Linked DNA regions of Arabidopsis thaliana. The protein of the gene in region 3 interacts with the protein of the main gene of each other region in a pairwise test. Each region holds a gene or a part of one and is shown on either strand. Other genes may lie near its edges.

The links.
Region 1: the proteins of NF-YB4 (region 3) and NF-YC7 interact in a two-hybrid assay, tested with the Arabidopsis thaliana proteins (3 studies listed by BioGRID).
Region 2: the proteins of NF-YB4 (region 3) and AT2G47890 interact in a two-hybrid assay, tested with the Arabidopsis thaliana proteins (one large-scale study listed by BioGRID).

The regions. Positions count from the first base shown.
Region 1 is NC_003076.8:20,552,972-20,557,488, forward strand, and holds NF-YC7 (nuclear factor Y, subunit C7), read right to left. Parts: upstream 2,788-4,517; coding exon 2,149-2,787; downstream 1-2,148. UniProt on the Arabidopsis thaliana protein: Stimulates the transcription of various genes by recognizing and binding to a CCAAT motif in promoters.
Region 2 is NC_003071.7:19,606,156-19,612,435, forward strand, and holds AT2G47890 (B-box type zinc finger protein with CCT domain-containing protein), read left to right. Parts: upstream 1-1,840; 5' UTR 1,841-2,089; coding exon 2,090-2,560; intron 2,561-2,638; coding exon 2,639-2,800; coding exon of another isoform or gene 2,801-2,881; exon of another isoform or gene 2,882-2,883; coding exon 2,884-3,155; coding exon of another isoform or gene 3,156-3,159; exon of another isoform or gene 3,160-3,227; coding exon 3,228-3,321; 3' UTR 3,322-4,132; downstream 4,133-6,280. Other genes in the region: TLP3 (tubby like protein 3), read right to left, coding at 5,041-5,515, 5,612-5,791, 5,869-6,004, 6,092-6,179, 6,267-6,280.
Region 3 is NC_003070.9:2,905,746-2,913,502, forward strand, and holds NF-YB4 (nuclear factor Y, subunit B4), read right to left. Parts: upstream 3,288-7,757; 5' UTR 3,286-3,287; coding exon 2,866-3,285; downstream 1-2,865. Other genes in the region: AT1G09040 (arginine-glutamic acid dipeptide repeat protein), read left to right, coding at 6,617-7,342, 7,420-7,757. UniProt on the Arabidopsis thaliana protein: Component of the NF-Y/HAP transcription factor complex. The NF-Y complex stimulates the transcription of various genes by recognizing and binding to a CCAAT motif in promoters.

The DNA of each region.
Region 1 (4,517 bases), on a different chromosome or scaffold from region 3:
GTTACAACTTCCTCAACTAAATGTTTTGGTTACTCCTCAACTTCTATTCAACGATGTAGTAGATAATTTATCTATTTGTAAAGAAACTTAAGTCTCCAGCATTTGAAACTAACAGAAAGAGTGTGATTTTATTCAGATCATCAAAGCAATGATCGCCATATGCATATTCATCTACTAATACTACTAGATGGTCATGTTTCTGACAATAGAATAAATTTATACTGTATCTGTAGGTCTTGAATGATTGTTTGAAAAAATTTCAATTGTTGAACAATATTGTTTTTCTAGGATTTTATGTCTCTTCCTCCTTTATTGCCTCCTTATCTTAACATAGAGAATACCTCAGTTTTTCCTCATTCTCTTTGAGATATGAATTGAGTGTTGCATATTCTTTTGAATTTTATCCATTCTGAAAATCTAGAAGCATCCAAAATTCGTTTCTTCAAATCTTCAAAGTGTTTATCCTTTTTTAAGGAATACATATTGTTTGTTCTACATATTTTATGCCTAACAACTTGCCTTCACTCTCCATTTTCACAATAAAAATCATAACATTTTTTTTTTTGAATATATTTGGAAATTCAAGTCTTTAGGTCCTAACATTACACACTTTAAATTCAAAAACATAACTTGAAAAGTAATTCAAATTCTCACGAAAGCGGTTAGAAATCTTAAATTACAAACCACACTTCAGTTTTTGCCGTTGTTTCCTCCATACTCAAAATCTTTAGTTGGTTTTTTTAGAAACTCATAAAACGAATACATTTGAAGTTTTAAATAAGAACTTTTTCTCTCTAAATTAACGGTAACTATGGTACTCCCATTGTTTAAAAAAATATGATGTTTAAACACAAAGTTTAAATAATTAATTTATCTTTTTATATATTTTTTCTAAATTAAAAACATAATTTAATATTTAGTTAATTAAAGTGAGTTTGGCCAATGAAATTCGTTACTGCATAATATATATATAGTCATAAAAGTATATAAATTCTACGCTTGCATAGAAATTTGAATTATTTGTCTAAAACATCTTATGTTAAGAATCAAAATAATTTGGCTAAAACAACTTATAATATAAAACCGAGAAAGTAGTGTTTTGGAGTTTTTATTTATGTTTTCTGGCTACTCTTTAATGTAGCCATTTAAAGTAAAAAGAAAATGAAACCAAGTATATATATAAGAGTGAGGACCCTTTTCATAAACAGAAGGATTTATTGCTTCTAAAAATTAAATTGTCTAGATTGTTTTCTATCTTTTCATAAGAAGAAAGATTTATTGCTTAAAAAAAAAGTAAATATTCAAAGATTTTTTTTTATCTAATGATTACGAAGTGAAAATATTTGGTTTTATTATGTGGCTCCTAATTGGTCGTTACGAACAATGTTTGTTTTACGAACACTTGTTATCCACAACAATTTTCAAGGTGTTCCACAACTATATTTTCAATAGATCTTTTACACATTAGATGTTCATATCTTGAAAACGAAATATACTATGTGAGAAACAACTCATGCCAAATTGAGAAAACTGGAATAATATATCAGCGGTTTGCAAGTAAAATTTCGTTGCATAATAAAACCGGAGTATAACTTTCACGCGAAAATCCATTTTAAAATCAAAATGCTGGAAAATTTACGAACATAGATTCGGGATTCAAAAAGATCTCTTACTAGATCCTAAGATCATGATGCCTACATATTCACAACGTATACAAAATTAATACCATGAGCCATGGGGATTTTCTACTTTCATAAAGGATAACTAGAAGATGGAGCTAGTAGTATATGTTTTTTATGGTAATTGACATTTATGCCTAGTTCATTGTGTTTTTTCGTAATGAACTGCGAATATTTTGGTGATTCTTTGGCATAAACTAATCTAAAGCAAAGAAGAAAATAAGAGTTAACTAAAATTCCATTGTCTTCCATTTGCTTTCGTTAATGCCATGTGTTTTGGTGTTGTTGATGTTATGTTTAGTCTTCTATGTGATATTTCACATGGAAGACTACACATAACACCAACAACAACAGAACACATGACATTAACGAAAGCAAAACATAATAACAACAACAACAACAAACATGACTCGATAGAGATACAAATTCTCACAAAAGCATTACAACCCTAAAACCCAATCAACACTTTTCAATTACCGCCGCTGCTTCCTCCAATTTCCCCAGCTGCCTCCTCTCCGTCACCAGGCACCGCCGGCCACTCCTGCATCTGTGGCGGTGACGCGTACACACCATTACAATCAAACACCGGATATCCTATCACCGTTCCCGGAGGAAGTACTTCACCGTCCGGATGTAGCACGGGATCATCGGTAACGACGGAAGGGTCTCTTGGGACAACGTCGCCAAGGAAGGTAAATTTGAAACTACGAGTCGTTGCGGCGGAGATATCGGATCTCGTGAGCGTATCGGATCTCTTGAGAGTTTGGCGACCGCCCTCCACGGTATGAAGCCACGATCGCATTGTGAGATCAAGAATGAGCATCTCACAGGCCTTCGATATAAGGACCGGAGCCTCTGCAGTGACCATGTTCACTTCCGGGTTGGACTTCATGATTTTCTTTATCCTGGTTAGTGGAAACGCATGATGCTTAACATCAGTTGCGTTTCCCATCTGCGCAATCCAATAATTCCGCATCTGCGGTGAGTACGGCAGCGGCAGTGAATATGACGGCAACGGCATTGATTGATAATACAATGGTGGCGGCGGCAGTTGGGAAGACGATGGTTGCGGCAGGTAGTGGTTGTTGTTGCCGTTGTTCTCTTCCATTTTGATCTTTACGTTTTTCTTGTTCACTTTCTAGGCTAGGGTTTCCATATTTAAAGGCTGATTAAGTGGGCTACGAAATCAGCCCAACTATTTTCTCAAAAATAAAATTTATTTTTTATTAATATTTTGTTTTGTGTTATACAATATTTACTAATATATGTGAAATCCCAAAATACAAAACCTCACTTTCTATTCATTATAAATTTTTGTTAACCAATACTTTTTGGATTTTATAAATTTTAAAACTTATAAAATTTAGATAAGGTGAAAGCTATTAGTCAACTATAGCTTTAGATAAGGTGGATTTTATACTAACCAATTTAGGGAAGTATGTGAAAGCTAGCATATGAGGAATGTCGTCAATGGTTTTGTGCCCAAGATCTGATTAGTCAAAGAAGAAAACTATAAGTGGTGCCTTGGAGTGGTAATTAGTGGGAAGATACCAAACTGAGAATTTTCTAATGCGCAATGGAAAGTATGTGGAGTTTCCGCATAGATAAGGTGACTTTGGCTTCGAGTGAAAAAGCTATAGTTGTGTACTTAAAATCCAATGCTTGGCCTGCTTCTTTGTGTTATCATTCTTAGGAGATTGCAAATATTGTCAGCATTTCAAAGATGCAAATATGTATGTCAATTTGTCTTGTGCATGAGACCGATCTAATCTGAAGCATTAATTTAAAGGTAGCAAAGGAACATGTTTCATCATTCAAAGATATCTCAATGCAGATAACAATTCCAAATCAATGAAAACACAAGTGGTGGAAAGAGATATTTGAATAGATGGTTTTCGCGCCAAAGTTCGTTAAAATATCAAGCTTAAAATTTAAACATCCAAAGATATTGTTTATGTAAAGAATATGTTTCTCTTAACCTTAGATATTATTTTTAAAGGAAATAATTACTACTTTTAGGGCCGGTCCAAACATAATTTGCCGTCACCTGTTAAAAAGAAATTACAAAAGTTAGGAAATTAGGATCGAACTGGTCACCTAAAGCGGATATCCATCAACTTTTCGGAAATAAACTTTTTATGAAATGATGCGCCTATATATTTATATAGAGAGTTCTTTGCCTAAAACCTTTGTTTCATGAGATTTTTAGGCTTTAATCGAAAGTCGAACCTGATTACTTGAACAAACGAATCATGCAAAATCTAGAAAAAACAATGATGAGTTCAACATTTGGTGTGAAATTTAGTTAGCTGGATAAAAGCAATCAAACCAGATTATTTTTTATTGATATGGAGTTATTGAAAACATTTATGCATAGTCCTTGTGATGATAATCAGCCCCATCCCAAATAAAATTAGAGATGTAAGGTTACCCAATTTGTTTTTGCTATAAAAAGCTTTATTTAAAAAACAAAATCAGGCTTATTATTTTTAAAACAAAAAATGGGGTTTTGAACTATAATTTTGGGCTAATTATAAGTTGTTTTATAAAATATGGGTTTTTTATATATCAATTTTACTTCAAAAATAAAAAAAGTCTTGACCCTCACACCTTACGACTCACCCATTGGGTCGAGGTTGATGATAACAAGCTCGGCCCAAATAGGATGGGCAAAAGGGCAGTAGCCCATGATTCCATGATTTTTTCTGAATTATTTTTTAAAAAGGCCATATTTTATAAAAAAATTAATTTGACTGAAAATATCTAATAAATGGCCCAATATATTTGGAGAAAAAAACTTTTACATGAAATGGGGCCCTTAATATTACTTTAAAAAAA
Region 2 (6,280 bases), on a different chromosome or scaffold from region 3:
AAGCAGTTTGAGGAAGAGGATGGAAGATCTTTCGCGGTCCAAGTATATCATGGCTACACAAAATCACTGCTCTTTTTGCGTTCCTTTATTCTTGAGTATCTTCACGTTTAATTTACTATTATTTTCTAATGAAAAATTGTACACCTTTTTATATATATGAACTCTTTGTTTTTTCGTTAGTTGCTCGTGTAGTAAATTAAACATATATGCTCATAATCAATAAAAACATACAATGTTAGAAGAAAAAAATACAATTTTTTTTACTAACGAATCATATGAATAGTTGTTTTATATACGGTACATTAACGATCCTCTCATCAGCTTTATAGATAACGAAGCATATTATTCTCCTTAGTTCCGCTTTTTATCACTTGAGATTAAACTCTACTCACAGGTTTAAGCACGTAAATTAGTTACTAAATAATGGATTTGACATTTACGCTTTGCATGCTTATATATGTTACCCATAATTATTTCCCTTTAGTTACTTAAAGTTACCAAAATCAACTACTTCAAGATTCTCCAATCAAAAGAAGCGTGTAAAAGCCTCTATAGTTATATAGTAGTATATAGACCTTGAAGATTTCTTTTTGAAGAAAATATGATTATACTGAGTTCAAAAGGTCGAAAAGAAATAATAAAGGTAGAATCCCTTTACATGATGTGTGGAACAACTTTTCTTGACCTCCAACTTCTTGGGATCGTGGGAAATATATAGGAGAATCTAATCGGAAGTTGTACAGAACGTGTAAGAACTAAGAACCATATTCACTTTGTTGTCATTGTTATAAGATTCAAGATTCTTTGACCGGCGCGTGAAAAAAGCATCCACCTATAGGCTCAAGATTCGTGTCCAAGAAAATATCGAGAACCGATGATTACTTGGAAAGTGGACCATTTTTTAAAAAATCAAAAATTAAAAAAGGAACGTAGCTCATGCGAATAGTTTAGTCCACCAAAGTGAAATGGTAGAACATTTGGTTTCAGTTTAGTTGTGTGTATTTTTATTAAAGGCTTCAGAATCAATTTCGATTTTTGAAAAATGAGTTTTTATAGCCATGTTAGTATGTTACGAGGATGGAAAAGCAACCTAGCTAGATTATCTTGTGATATGTGTTATTGTTCAAGAGAAGTAGGGGCAGTAGTTGTCGAGATCATGTTATTAGTGTCGCTGGAATGTTAGATATTGCCCATCCTGTCTCTTTTTCCCCATCGTGCCCTAAAAGTCAAACTATGCATGGTATTAGCTAATCTTGAATAGGTTTAATTCAGTACGGAAACTCTAATTGAAAACTACCTTCATGGAGTAATAGTTATCGAGGAACGATGATGAGGTATTAGTGGAGATAAGCAGATTTGGACTCAATATCAAAAATTAATGGTGGGATCCATTTCCGTTTCACCTAATATACATAGTGGCAAACAAAAAACAAATATAAGAAGAAAAGATTCAGTATCGAGCATTCTAGCTATGTCGGTAACGTGACAAAGTCCTTTTTTTCGTTTGTCTGTTTCTTTAAAGTTAATCAAATCGGCCAACGCTGCCTCAACAACGAGCTTCCTTTTTCTAACGTCCCTAATTTGCCACGTCCATTTTCTGGACTAGTCCCGGTTTAAAAAATCTTCAGAGATGTATTCGTGGTCAACTTCATTAACTCTTTCTCTTGAGCCCTTCATTAGTTATGATCTTATTTACTTTTTAAAAATCTAACCAAGTACTGTATATTATATATGTGGTAGCCAAAATATTATGTTAAATTCTAGGCTAATCCGATATATCAAGAAAAATCAATATATAAAAATGGAGAGCTATTTTTCACGAGTTAAGTGAGAGAGATGAGTAAAGAAAGGCACGGGAAGGTGAAGAGAGTGTAGGTTTCCAGCTTCTTCCCCAAGAAATAAAATGTATTTGACTTTGTCTAAGCAAATATGTCGTCACTTTAACGTCATTCATTACCTAGAATGCAATTAAGATATGGCTTTTACATAAGCCACCAAATTTGGTTTTGTTGCCCCAAAATATCCCAAGAAAAGATCAACTTCTTCTTCTTACCAAAACTGTCGGCGTCGTCTCCTCTAAGCTCCTCCCATGGAAGCAGAAGAAGGTCATCAGCGTGACCGCCTCTGCGACTATTGCGACTCCTCCGTGGCTCTTGTCTACTGCAAAGCTGACTCCGCCAAGCTCTGCCTCGCCTGCGACAAGCAAGTCCACGTCGCCAACCAACTCTTCGCCAAACACTTCAGGTCACTTCTCTGCGACTCCTGCAACGAATCTCCCTCTTCCCTTTTCTGCGAGACTGAAAGGTCTGTTCTTTGCCAGAACTGCGACTGGCAACACCACACCGCCTCTTCCTCCCTTCATAGCCGCAGACCCTTTGAAGGATTTACCGGCTGTCCCTCCGTGCCTGAGTTGCTGGCCATCGTTGGCCTCGATGACCTCACTCTCGATTCCGGATTGCTTTGGGAGTCACCTGAGATCGTTAGCCTCAACGACCTTATTGTTTCGGGCGGGTCGGGTACTCATAACTTCCGGGCCACGGATGTTCCTCCTCTGCCTAAGGTATAACTTGCTCTGTTTTTTTTCTCGAGCCAATTGCTCGGTTTTTATATTTCTCTGAAATGTTTTGAAATGCTCCAGAATCGTCACGCCACCTGCGGGAAATACAAAGATGAGATGATCCGACAGCTCCGTGGACTATCCAGATCTGAGCCTGGTTGTCTGAAATTTGAAACCCCAGATGCTGAGATCGATGCCGGGTTCCAATTCCTAGCGCCGGATTTGTTTTCTACATGCGAGCTGGTAATAGAGACTGCTATTGGTTGTGTTTTCTTGTGCTTGTCAAATGATTTTCCAGCTTATAAATCTCTCTTGTCAATATGAAGGAGAGTGGACTGAAATGGTTCGATCAGCAAGATCATGAGGACTTTCCATATTGCTCTCTGCTAAAGAACTTGTCGGAGTCAGATGAGAAACCTGAGAATGTAGACCGAGAGTCATCGGTGATGGTTCCCGTTTCCGGCTGCTTAAACCGATGTGAGGAAGAGACTGTGATGGTTCCGGTTATCACTAGTACAAGGTCGATGACACATGAGATCAACAGTCTTGAGAGGAACTCTGCTCTCTCTCGCTACAAAGAAAAGAAGAAGTCTCGAAGGTAAACAAGCTAATTTAAAAAGTGAGACACCACCAATAGGATTGGGATTTGAATCATGTGTTGATGAAACAGGTACGAGAAACACATCAGGTATGAATCACGCAAGGTTCGTGCAGAAAGCAGGACAAGAATCAGGGGACGTTTCGCCAAGGCAGCAGATCCATGAATGATGATGAGGTTACTTTGATAATCAAAAATCTTTTGTATTAATCGAATCATATAGTGTGTATGATCAGATAAGTTTTTGTATTCTAAGCTTAGGAGTTATCACTGTATATCGACCACACTCTCAAAATTGTCACTTAAGAATAGTTTTTTTTTTGTTTTGCCTCCGATTCCTAATTTGCCAAAGGGCAAGCATGGACGAGCACAGAACAAAACATGGTTCACAGTTATATACAATCTCAAGACAAGCAAGCAGCAAAAGAACTTGTTGTAATGTTAGAAAGTGAGATTGGACCCATTAAAGATCCATGGAGCAAGAAGGGCTTGATGTAATTGATATTATGGGCTCAAGTTGTAACATAGTAAACCCAATATAGGTTGGCATGTTTGGGCCATTTTCTTTTAAAGCCCAAATATAAAAGCGTCTCTTCCCGATGGCCGGCGAAACAGAAATTCCGCTGCCGTCGCAGCTTTCACTCTTGTTTTTTTATTCAGATGAAATTGGATGGCCGATGAAGACAAACATCCAAAGGCATGGGCTCGCGGCAACAACTATTTGCAATCTACCAATATATAATAATCTGAGGCAGTATAAAAATACAAAAAAAAATGACAACACTTTTTGGCAGATCATTCCTGCTACGATGAATCTGTCCCAATGATAATCTGAGAAGTAAAGTAAGTTTTGGTTGAACAAGGAATCTGGAGTGGGTTTTACTTGTTGAGCAATCAGTAAGCACTAAATCATGTATCAGAGTTGTGGTTATATTCTCTATGTTCTTCTTAGAATTCAAATATGAATCTGACTTGGAGTTCTTTATTTTAATGATGGTTAATTTTACTGTTAATATTTTTGGATTTGAACATTTGGTGAAGAGTGGTTGCAGCTTGAAGCAATTTTGCATCTCTCACTCTTCGTTTACTGTTTGTTGACGTTGAAGATTAGGCCCCAACAAACTTGTATATAAGAGCCCTTCTCTGTTTATTCTCCTGTCTTAAGAGCGCTAAATCCCTTGGAGACATCTTCACCACACTGTTCAGAGATCTGTCATGGGCCCCGGAGGACCAGGAGGACCCGGAGGACCAGGGTTCTTGCCACCGGGAGGACCAGGCTTCTTCCCACCCATTGGTGGTTTCTTTTCTGGGTTCTCCGACATGATATGTTCCTGGTAAAGACATTCTCTGTTTTGCTATGTGTTTTGTAAAGAGTTAAGTGGTTAGTCTGACTGTGGAATCTTGCAGTCTATCTTGTCTGTGCTGCTGCTGGCTGCTACGAGATTGCTTTGGCGGCCCACCGCCACAAGGACCGCCACTTCTGCCACCCTATTATTGACCACATCTGACTCCATTGGTCACTCGAATAATATTAAAGCTATCTCTGTATAGGATATTGCAGATGTTTGTCAAATTCAATCTTAAATATAATAATTCAAATGTCTCAATTTCTGCTCTGTGTGGATATATATTACCCAAAAAACGATCAAATTAATTATCAGAGAAATGAAATCATAGTCTGGAACTACAATCACTAGCAACACAATGCAACAACAACAACAACAAACACAATCTACTGTCTTCGATTCTTGACTCTTCTCTTGTATGGACTTGCCAAGACTTTTGAAACTATGTACACACACTTCTAAGACGAGGCCAAACCAGTCTTCTCTTTCAACATGATACAACTAAATAAACACGGAGTCACAGGGTTTGATGGAATTAATCATTCACATGCTATCTTGGTGTCGAAACTGCTGAGGCAAATGGTGAAGGCCTGGAAGGCAGAGATAGGGTACTGATAATCCATTGTGAACACATCTTTTCCGACTTTTCCAAACTGGAGAATCACGTTTTCGTGCTCAGGTCCTGCAGGTCCATTCTCAGGAGCAGCTACCAGCTGAAAGTTTTTGACGGAAGCAACTGTGACTCTCCCATTGAAGTTGAGGCACCAGCACTGGAGCTGTTCGTGCCATCTGGGCGCTTTGTTTTTCAGGACAAGCAGTCCTTCCTTCTGAGCAGCAGATGATGGACCAGAAGGGAGACTCTCTGCACGAATTGATTTCGACCTGAAGAAGGAGAATGAGGGGAAACTATCAAGATTGCTATGGACAAGTTCCGTCTGAGTTGGAGCTGTTCCTCCAGGTTCTACAGCTGATGCAGGGATGGCATCCATGACACACTGCATCCTCCTCGGTCCTCTGGTATGATACGACAATGTTCACAATTAGCAAAAGCCATATTAAGCAACTACCGTTTTATCTCACAATGTATCTGTAAGCAAGGAGATAAATCACCTGGAACCCAAGACGTTAAGCTCATATGAGATATGTGCTACAGGATAGTTGCCAGATGGAATTCTCGGGCTCACTTGTTTCAAACTGAGAAGTCTGCTTGAACGGGTTCTGGTAACCTGAGTTCCAGGATTCGTCGGCTGAGCGTCATAGACAGTGAACTTGGTCCCCAGAAAGTTAGATCTGAAAGAAAGTTAAGATAAGAGAAAGGTTATGGCAAATATATGAAAAAACCATGGGGTCAATCTGTAGCTAAGTACCTAAGCTTTCCGATATAGGTATTGCTTCCTCGAGAGACATCATCGCAGTTTAAGGAGATGATGTAGTCAGTGCAAGTTGGCCTCCGAAACCTCTTGGCAGCAAGAAGGAACTTTCCATCATCATTTGAAGCTGCTGCTGGACCAGAAAAAGTAAACCTTTGAGTGTTATTCAGAAAGAGATTAGGTATGCAAAGAGAAAAGAAGAAGCATCTGTTAGTTTCACCTTGGTTTAACCCGAGGTATAGATAGTAGGTTTGATTGCTGCGGTTTCTCATAATATAGCATTGAACAAGTGATCCTCTAGGACCCGGCTAAAAGGAAGTAGGGAAAAACGATTAGCCTGGATAAGCACACAAGTCATTTATAAAGTAAAGAGAGAATGTGATGGGATACTCAACCTGTTTGAGGGAGA
Region 3 (7,757 bases):
TAGACATGACTTTATATAAGTGTATATATCTCGCTCTTACTCTAATGTTGTTTATCTTTTTCCTCAAAACGTATATAAGTCCCCCGGCCCTCTCTTTCAGTACTATTCTATATATACACTTACTCTATCTGTCGGAAAACAGCAAATGAGAAAGACATTTGTAAACAATGGTCATTTTGGCTTGTTGGTTATTGGGCAGCATTCACGGTCGCTGGCTAGTATGGACAATTGGATATATATACTCCTTTAATGGTCATAACTTTCATCTCAAAATCTTGATCGCTATATTTGGGCATTGAAAAACAGGCCAACAAAGTTTTTTTTTTTTATCTCATAAGGGCTCTTTTTAATATTTGGAAAGTCTTCATTTGGTTACATATTGTTAGAACATCTTTGGCTCTCGTCCTAAACATCCGTAACTCCTTCGTCGTAATTCTGGTTATGTATATGATCTTTGGCTCGGGAACTAATTCAAAGAGTTCTTTCTTCTTCTTTTCTTTCAGTTATGGGTTTTGCATCAGATTTCGAGAAGAATTTCTTTAGCCTCCACTGAATACATTTTTCTCTTAGTCTAAACAACTCTCCAATTACATCACATATGCTCCTTCTTTCTTTCTTTTTTTTTTTGATATGAAATCAATCAAAGTGAAAAGCTTAGATTATACAATATAGCATAGCCTAGTTCTTTGTAACCTTGCCCAAAAAGGAATTTAAGGAAACATCAAAGCTGGGAAAAATATTGGGAGACTAACGCGCAAGCAGTTTCATTGATGGTTCTTTCTCTTTCGGGTACAAAAGTCAAAATCTGAGTTTATCATTGATGGTTCTCTTGTAGGCAATTTCTGATGGTTCTCTTTTTCTCCTTCCAAAATAGATAGTCCATAACTCTTTGTCCGTAAGTATAATTTCGATGATTTTTGTTTTTTGTTTTACGAGAACGTTCACGTCACCAGAAGTATAATATCATTGAAATTAGGTTTGGAAGATTACACAGTTTTGTAAAAATAGTTAAATAATTTGTATACCAATTTTTCTTGCACATTCTTTATTTTGTTTCTCGTCAGTCAAACGAAAACCTAATCTGAAATATATATGTGTTCTTACATAATGCCAAGCTTTAAAATTTCATTAGAAATGAGTTGTTCCCGAATAGTCCACTACTACAAATAGTTAATAACTGAAGAGAGAAAACTAAGATGGTATCAAATAGCACTTTTCTTTCACTTGAAGAACTTTTGACATGCGTGCATCTCATTTTTCATAGGAATCAAGTTCAGCAACTTGCCTAAAATCATCATAAAGCTATTATATTTCTTGGTCCATGCTGCAACCTTAATGGTTGTAAGTAAAATCAACATAATAAGCTATTATATTTCACATGGACCTGTCCTCTTCATCTTTCTCTTTGTCCTTCGCAATGGGTACATCAGATGTGGGTTGTACTGGTTGTTACCTTAAAATATTCGCGCTCATGGTTCCCGAGGCATCGCTGCCTGCCTGTGCAGGAGCTCAATGCCGCGATTCCATGGTTTGAGCCAATGGAAACAAACATTTATCCCTAGAATCATTAAGTACATAGATGTCAGATATAACATTGTTAAGGTTAATATTAGTACATAGCAAAACATTGCGTGTTACTACATTGGTATACTAATAGTTTAAAATGTACTATGGGATGTTACTTACTATCTTGGTATAGTTATTGATAAATAAAGATCTTGATGTTTGTGATTTCAGCTTTTGTCTCTTTGAACTAATCTCTTATATATGTTACTTGTTCAATCTTAGTTGATTAGAGCAAGAACATAAGATAGTTGAGAAGTGGTCCCAAGAAAGCTCTACATAAACTATAGGCTGCATCTTTCTTTCATGAATTGTTTCTAACTTTCTTATTTATTTGATGATATAAAACTACCCCATTTGCAGATAACCATAAAGCGAGCATGTCATAAGATATACAAATCTTGAAACATTCATATAAAATTTTAGGTTTAGTGTGCCCATAAGGTTGTGGTCCTCATAGTCTCGGGGTTGTTTTTTTTTTCTGAACCTATTACTCTCTCTATTCAAACCCTAGACCCTTTTGACATCTTTAGTTTTACGATAAACTAAAAAAAAAACCTTATCATCTCCCCTATTGGTTGTTCTTAGTTCTATTAGCTGTTTTTTTTTTTTTTTTTGGCAAAAGAAGAAATATTGACTTTAACTTAGTTGGATTTTTTTTTTTTCTTGTTCTTAAGTTTTGTAGAGACCAATCTACTTACATGTGAAATAAAATCTGGCAAGTGTCAACTTTCTAAGCTTCCTTCTCCTTTAATGTGAACTAATTACTTTCTGACTTCTTTAGGATTTCATTTTAAATGGTCAAGTCCCAATGCTCCTTTATTTTGGTTAACACTAGCCTCAGGCTCCAGAAGGCCATTAGGCATATGGGGATTAAAAAATATCATTGTTCTAGCCACTGTAACAGATCCATCAATGGATATATGCGGTAAGATATACAAAAAGCTCTTATTTTTTGGCCTATTATGTTTATGGAAAGCCTTGGATCGACCTATGCGGTGATATATATACCAAAAGGAAAAAGAAAACCAAAATCATCTTGCTAGTACCTTGTTTCTGCTATCTTCTCCTCTTCCTATTGTTCGAACCGACCAATATTCTAAGTCTAAATTACACGTTATTTGCTTGCAAGAAGAAATATCATAGATTTATATATATGTATGTAGAAACTCATGTTTAGAAATCAATTACAAACATGTACATTGTATTAATGATTCAACATTGACATTATTGAATCCTTCTGGTCTCTCTACAGATCTTTCTTGGCTTCATAGTAAATAATTCAGAACTTAGATGTCTAGTTCAACGGGCCGAGGAGCTGCTTCCCTTCTCAACAACTCTAATAAATTTTGTCGATTGGTTCTGTACATCACTTCTAGTGTTGGTTTCTTTCTCATTCCCACTATCATTGCTACCTTTGTTGTGCTCAGTTCTTTCTCTCTCGGCTTCACGGTACTTGTGAAGATGCCTACCCACGGCGTCAGCATAGTTATCGAGGCCGAGAGTGCTGAGAGCCCACCAGATGTCGTCTCCATTCACCGTCTTCCGATTCTCCCTGTGGCACTTCTCTGATGCTTCGCATGTAACAAAGCTTATGAACTCTGTTGCACATTCTTGAACTGTTTGTTTTGCTTCTTTTGAGATCTTTGCATTTGATGGTAGGATTTGCTTCATAAGTCTCCCTACATTGGCTATTGGCAACAATCTATCTTCGTCTGTCATTTTTCTCTTTTGTTTCAGTGAATCTATCAGCTCTCGCTTCTCTTATAACCTTTTTATACAAGTTGTCCTATATGACCCTCCCTCTCTCTATATATAGATTATATAGGGTGTGTATGTGTATGATGAGTAGATGTACTACTTGAACCTACTCTTAATTTATTACATACTATATATATAATATATGTCTAAGATTCTCTCTGTATATATGTATGTGAATTAAGCTTATATAAGCTATAGCAGAATCGTTTATACCTGTTTGGTGATTGTGGCTTAGCTTTGATCCATATGCATCATCAATCCGTCTAATACATACGGATATCTACGTACAGTACTGTATATGACAAGTTAATACTAAATTAATATCTAAAATTAAATCTTAACTTTAATTTTGATTAGAGCGTAGCTACTTTGGTAAAAGAAATTATTCTTGATGAAGCAATGGTTGGCTTATGGAATGTCAAAACCTTAATTGTATTATAGAAAATATGAAATTCGAGGCACGTAATCCGCATAATCCAGTACGGCCACTCGCATGCATTTGACCTTTGGTTTTAATATGTTTTAAAAATAAATACTTATTTAATTATTAGCAATACTGCGCAAAAATTCACCAAATCTATATAAAAGGCAATAGCTAAAAACAAAATATTGAGAAATTTCGTCGTTAGAAGTTAACCAATACAAATATTCAATGGGTCTATATTGGCCAAGTCATTGGTTTATATACTAAGAGCATGTGCATTTTAGATATGGGTTCAAACCCTAAGCATATTGTAAGCCACATGAGGCATTATGAAACGTCAAACTATCACGATTTTGTATCTTGTGGATTTGGATTTGGATTGTCTAAATATAATGATTTTATAATATTTTGTATAATCAAGAATTCCTAATGAATTGGTGATCGTAGGTGAACGTCTCTAGTCGAATATGTATCCTAATTTTTGGGGAAAATGATAAACCTTTCGTTTGGGAAAAAATATCGTAGAAGATGTGTGAACACACATTTTGTTCGAGTTCTTGCTAGTCTATTAACGGAAAGATGGAAAGTTTCAGGCATTTCCTTCTTCTTCTTTTTTTTTTTTTTTGGAGTTCTTAGAGCATTTCCTTTACATTCTGCACTTTATTCATGGTATAGAGAGGCTTAACTAATCATTATAATCTTTTTAAAGACATATATTTACGTAAGAACTTAGAATATACGCACTTAAAAAAAAAAACCTAGAATACGTCATTAATTAAAAACCGGATTATGCGATTTAAAAAGATGTTCTACATACTTCGAAACTGAGTTGACTTAACCATTCACAACCAATTAGAAAAAAAGTGTATGTAAAGTTTTATTTCTTTGTGAAAAGCATCACACTTTTTGCCCTTAATTTATCAATTGCATCACACTTCAATTGGAAAGTTGTTAACGGTCTCCTATTTTTTGCTTGCTAATTATATTGTATGCTTAAACATGATAATTAATAATTCGCCAATGCTGTCTTTTGTAACCCATGGAGTATTTTATTATTCTCATTTCATAGTGTATTGGTGGGTTTATTATTCTCTTTTCCAAATTCCAAGTCGGATCCCAAACTGAAAACAATTTTACGGTTTGCATGCCTTGAAATGATAGAAGAACCATATGGGCTTTCTGTTTTCTGATATTAAGTTTGTTTCACTTTTTCTTCGTCAATGGGTCCTTCAATTTTTAGCCCAATATTAACTTTGAAGTCCATCGACTGTTTTTTTAACCTTGGCTTAAAGGCTTCCATTCATCCACCTCGGCTTTAAGTGTTTTATCCAACACTTTTTTGAATTATTTTGGCAAAAGTACAACATATTGTTTGATCGTATGCCATATTTTGGATGTAAATTCTACTTCTAGTCTAGCATATGAGAGTTCAATATATATTATCTTGGGTCTCTTCATCATACACATTAAAAAGTATTATAACTGTTTTCTTAAAAATTTATATCATTTTAATATTGATTGAAATTGTAGCATGAAACGATATCATCAATTATCGTAAAAAGAAAAAGAAAAACCTAGTAGTAACACACCGAATCAAATAATGGAGAACACAAAACACGTCCACAACTTCAAAGTATATTTTTTTTTTATAACTTTGAACACTTAAAAGTTAAAACTGAAAACAATAAAAACACTCTAATAAAACCCTTAAAATAGCCAATGAAAATCTCCAAAGTGCATATAAAAAAAAAAGATCTTTATATTGCGACTCTCTCATAATATTTCTCTCCTTTTATGTGCCTCATTCTCCTCTCGAAGACTTCGTGTTGAAAGAGCGACCAGTGCTCTTTCTCTCTATCCACAAACACGAACAATTCTTCGTTGTCTTTGTTCCTGTTGCCAACTCCAGATTCTCAAAGTGCCACAATCTCTAACATTGCAAAGTTGAGACATCTCATAAACTAACTCAGGTTATCAAATCTATCTCCTTTTGCCGTGTTTGGCAATTCATGTTTTCGGGTTTGCTTTCCTCTTTCTGGGGTTTCTTGTGTCGCAACGCTACTGCTTTACTAGAAATCGAGAGAACTAACAATCGGGGATGCTTTTGATATCAAGTACCCAACTTTTGTTTTAGAATTTGTGTGTTCCATGTTTTTGTCTCTTGCGTAAAGATTTCGACTTTTCCTGCTTTTCTTGCTTACCATTGTCATATGTTCGTCTCTTGGTTAATCCTTTACGAGATCATTGAGAATTACATACAACTTTTTCATGTTCGGGATCGATGCCTATGGGTTTTGCTTTGATCAGGTCTGATTATGAATCTGGGTCAGTTGTTCTACGGAACTTGGCTCTGAAAATACTAGATTTTATCTCTTTCCTAGGCTTCGTGCTTTTGTGGGTTTTGCTTTAATTCCTGTGTCTGTGTTTGTTTCAATGATCAAGTCTTTTGATTGAATCGAATGTATTTGGTATCCCTCAACAACTTCTTTCACGATCTGAGGTAGTTGAATCTTCAGTTTGGTACCGTGATCTTAAATATCTGAGCTTTATTACTTTACCCCGTCGTGTTGCTCTGTACAATGTATGTATTTGAGCTCCTTGCGGTTTTGTTTGTATCTTTCATAGTTAATTTCAATGTTCATACTTAGGGTAGTGAATTTCCAAGTTGGGTCTTTTATCTTCGTGTTTTTGCTTCTTAGTAGTATCTATTTGCAAGGAAACTAGGATTGATTTCCCTTTGCTGTTTGATTTAGATGATGTTCACAGTTTTTATGTTCTTGAAAGGTTACATTTTTTCAGCAGTTTGAGATTCCTATGATGTTGAAAATGCAGTTCTTTTGTGCTTGTTCAGGTTTCACTACGTTGAGGATGGTTCTTCTGATGGGTGCCGAGAATAATCTTATGGAAGAAACAACAGCTGTTACCGAAGAAGATTCCTATGATGATGAGTTTCCCTGCGGAGATCCACAAGTTGAGCCTCGTGTTGGAGATGAATTTCAGGTCGACATTCCTCCTATGATGTCTGCAACCAAGCGTGCTGTGTTTCTTTCGACTCCTGTTGCTTTGGATGATTCGTCATATTCTTTTCTCATCGGACTACCTGTCCAAGTCATGTGGATAGACAAACATAGAAGAGGGCAAGGAAATGGAGATGACAATGTTGACATGAACCAGTCCTTGAAGTCTTTAAGAGCCAAAAAAAGCCGTTGCTCTGCCAAGATCAGAGGAAAGAGTGACAAGAATTCGGAAACCAAGAAGCAAAGATCGAATCTTGAGGCTGTTCCTGTGATACCGTCCAGTTCTTGGGAAGATTTGGAGGTGGCTAGCTTTGTTCTTGGTCTGTATACATTTGGGAAGAACTTTACTCAGGTGAAGAATTTCATGGAGAACAAAGGAATAGGAGAGATCATGTTGTTTTACTATGGGAAGTTCTACAATTCTGCAAAGTACCACAGTTGGTCTGAATCCCGAAAGAAGCGCAACCGCAAATGTGTATTTGGAAGAACGCTCTATTCAGGTTGGAGGCAACAACAATTGTTAACCCGTTTGATGCCTTCTATTCCTGATGAACCTCAGAAACAGATACTTGTGGATGTGAGTCTCTTTCACATCCTAATGCGGAATGCTTAACCACTGTATATTTGTTTTTTCATTGATCTTACTATTCGCAGGTCTCAAAGTCATTTGCTGAAGGTACTATCACTCTAGAGAAATACGTAAGTGCAGTGAAGAATCTTGTGGGTCTCAGGCTTCTGGTAGACGCTGTGGCGATTGGTAAAGAAAAAGAAGATCTCACGGTTCCTACATCAACACCAATGAAGACCAAACCATGGTTCACTGTTTCTTCAAAATCTTCTTTGGTCCCTGGAGAAGGGGATTACAATTCCCTCACATCGGCTGGCATAATAAATCAGTTAACTGGCTGTTCTCGTCTGAGCAAAGCCCGTTGCAATGATATATTCTGGGGCGCTGTATGGCCGCGTTTGCTAGCCAGAGGATGGCATTCACA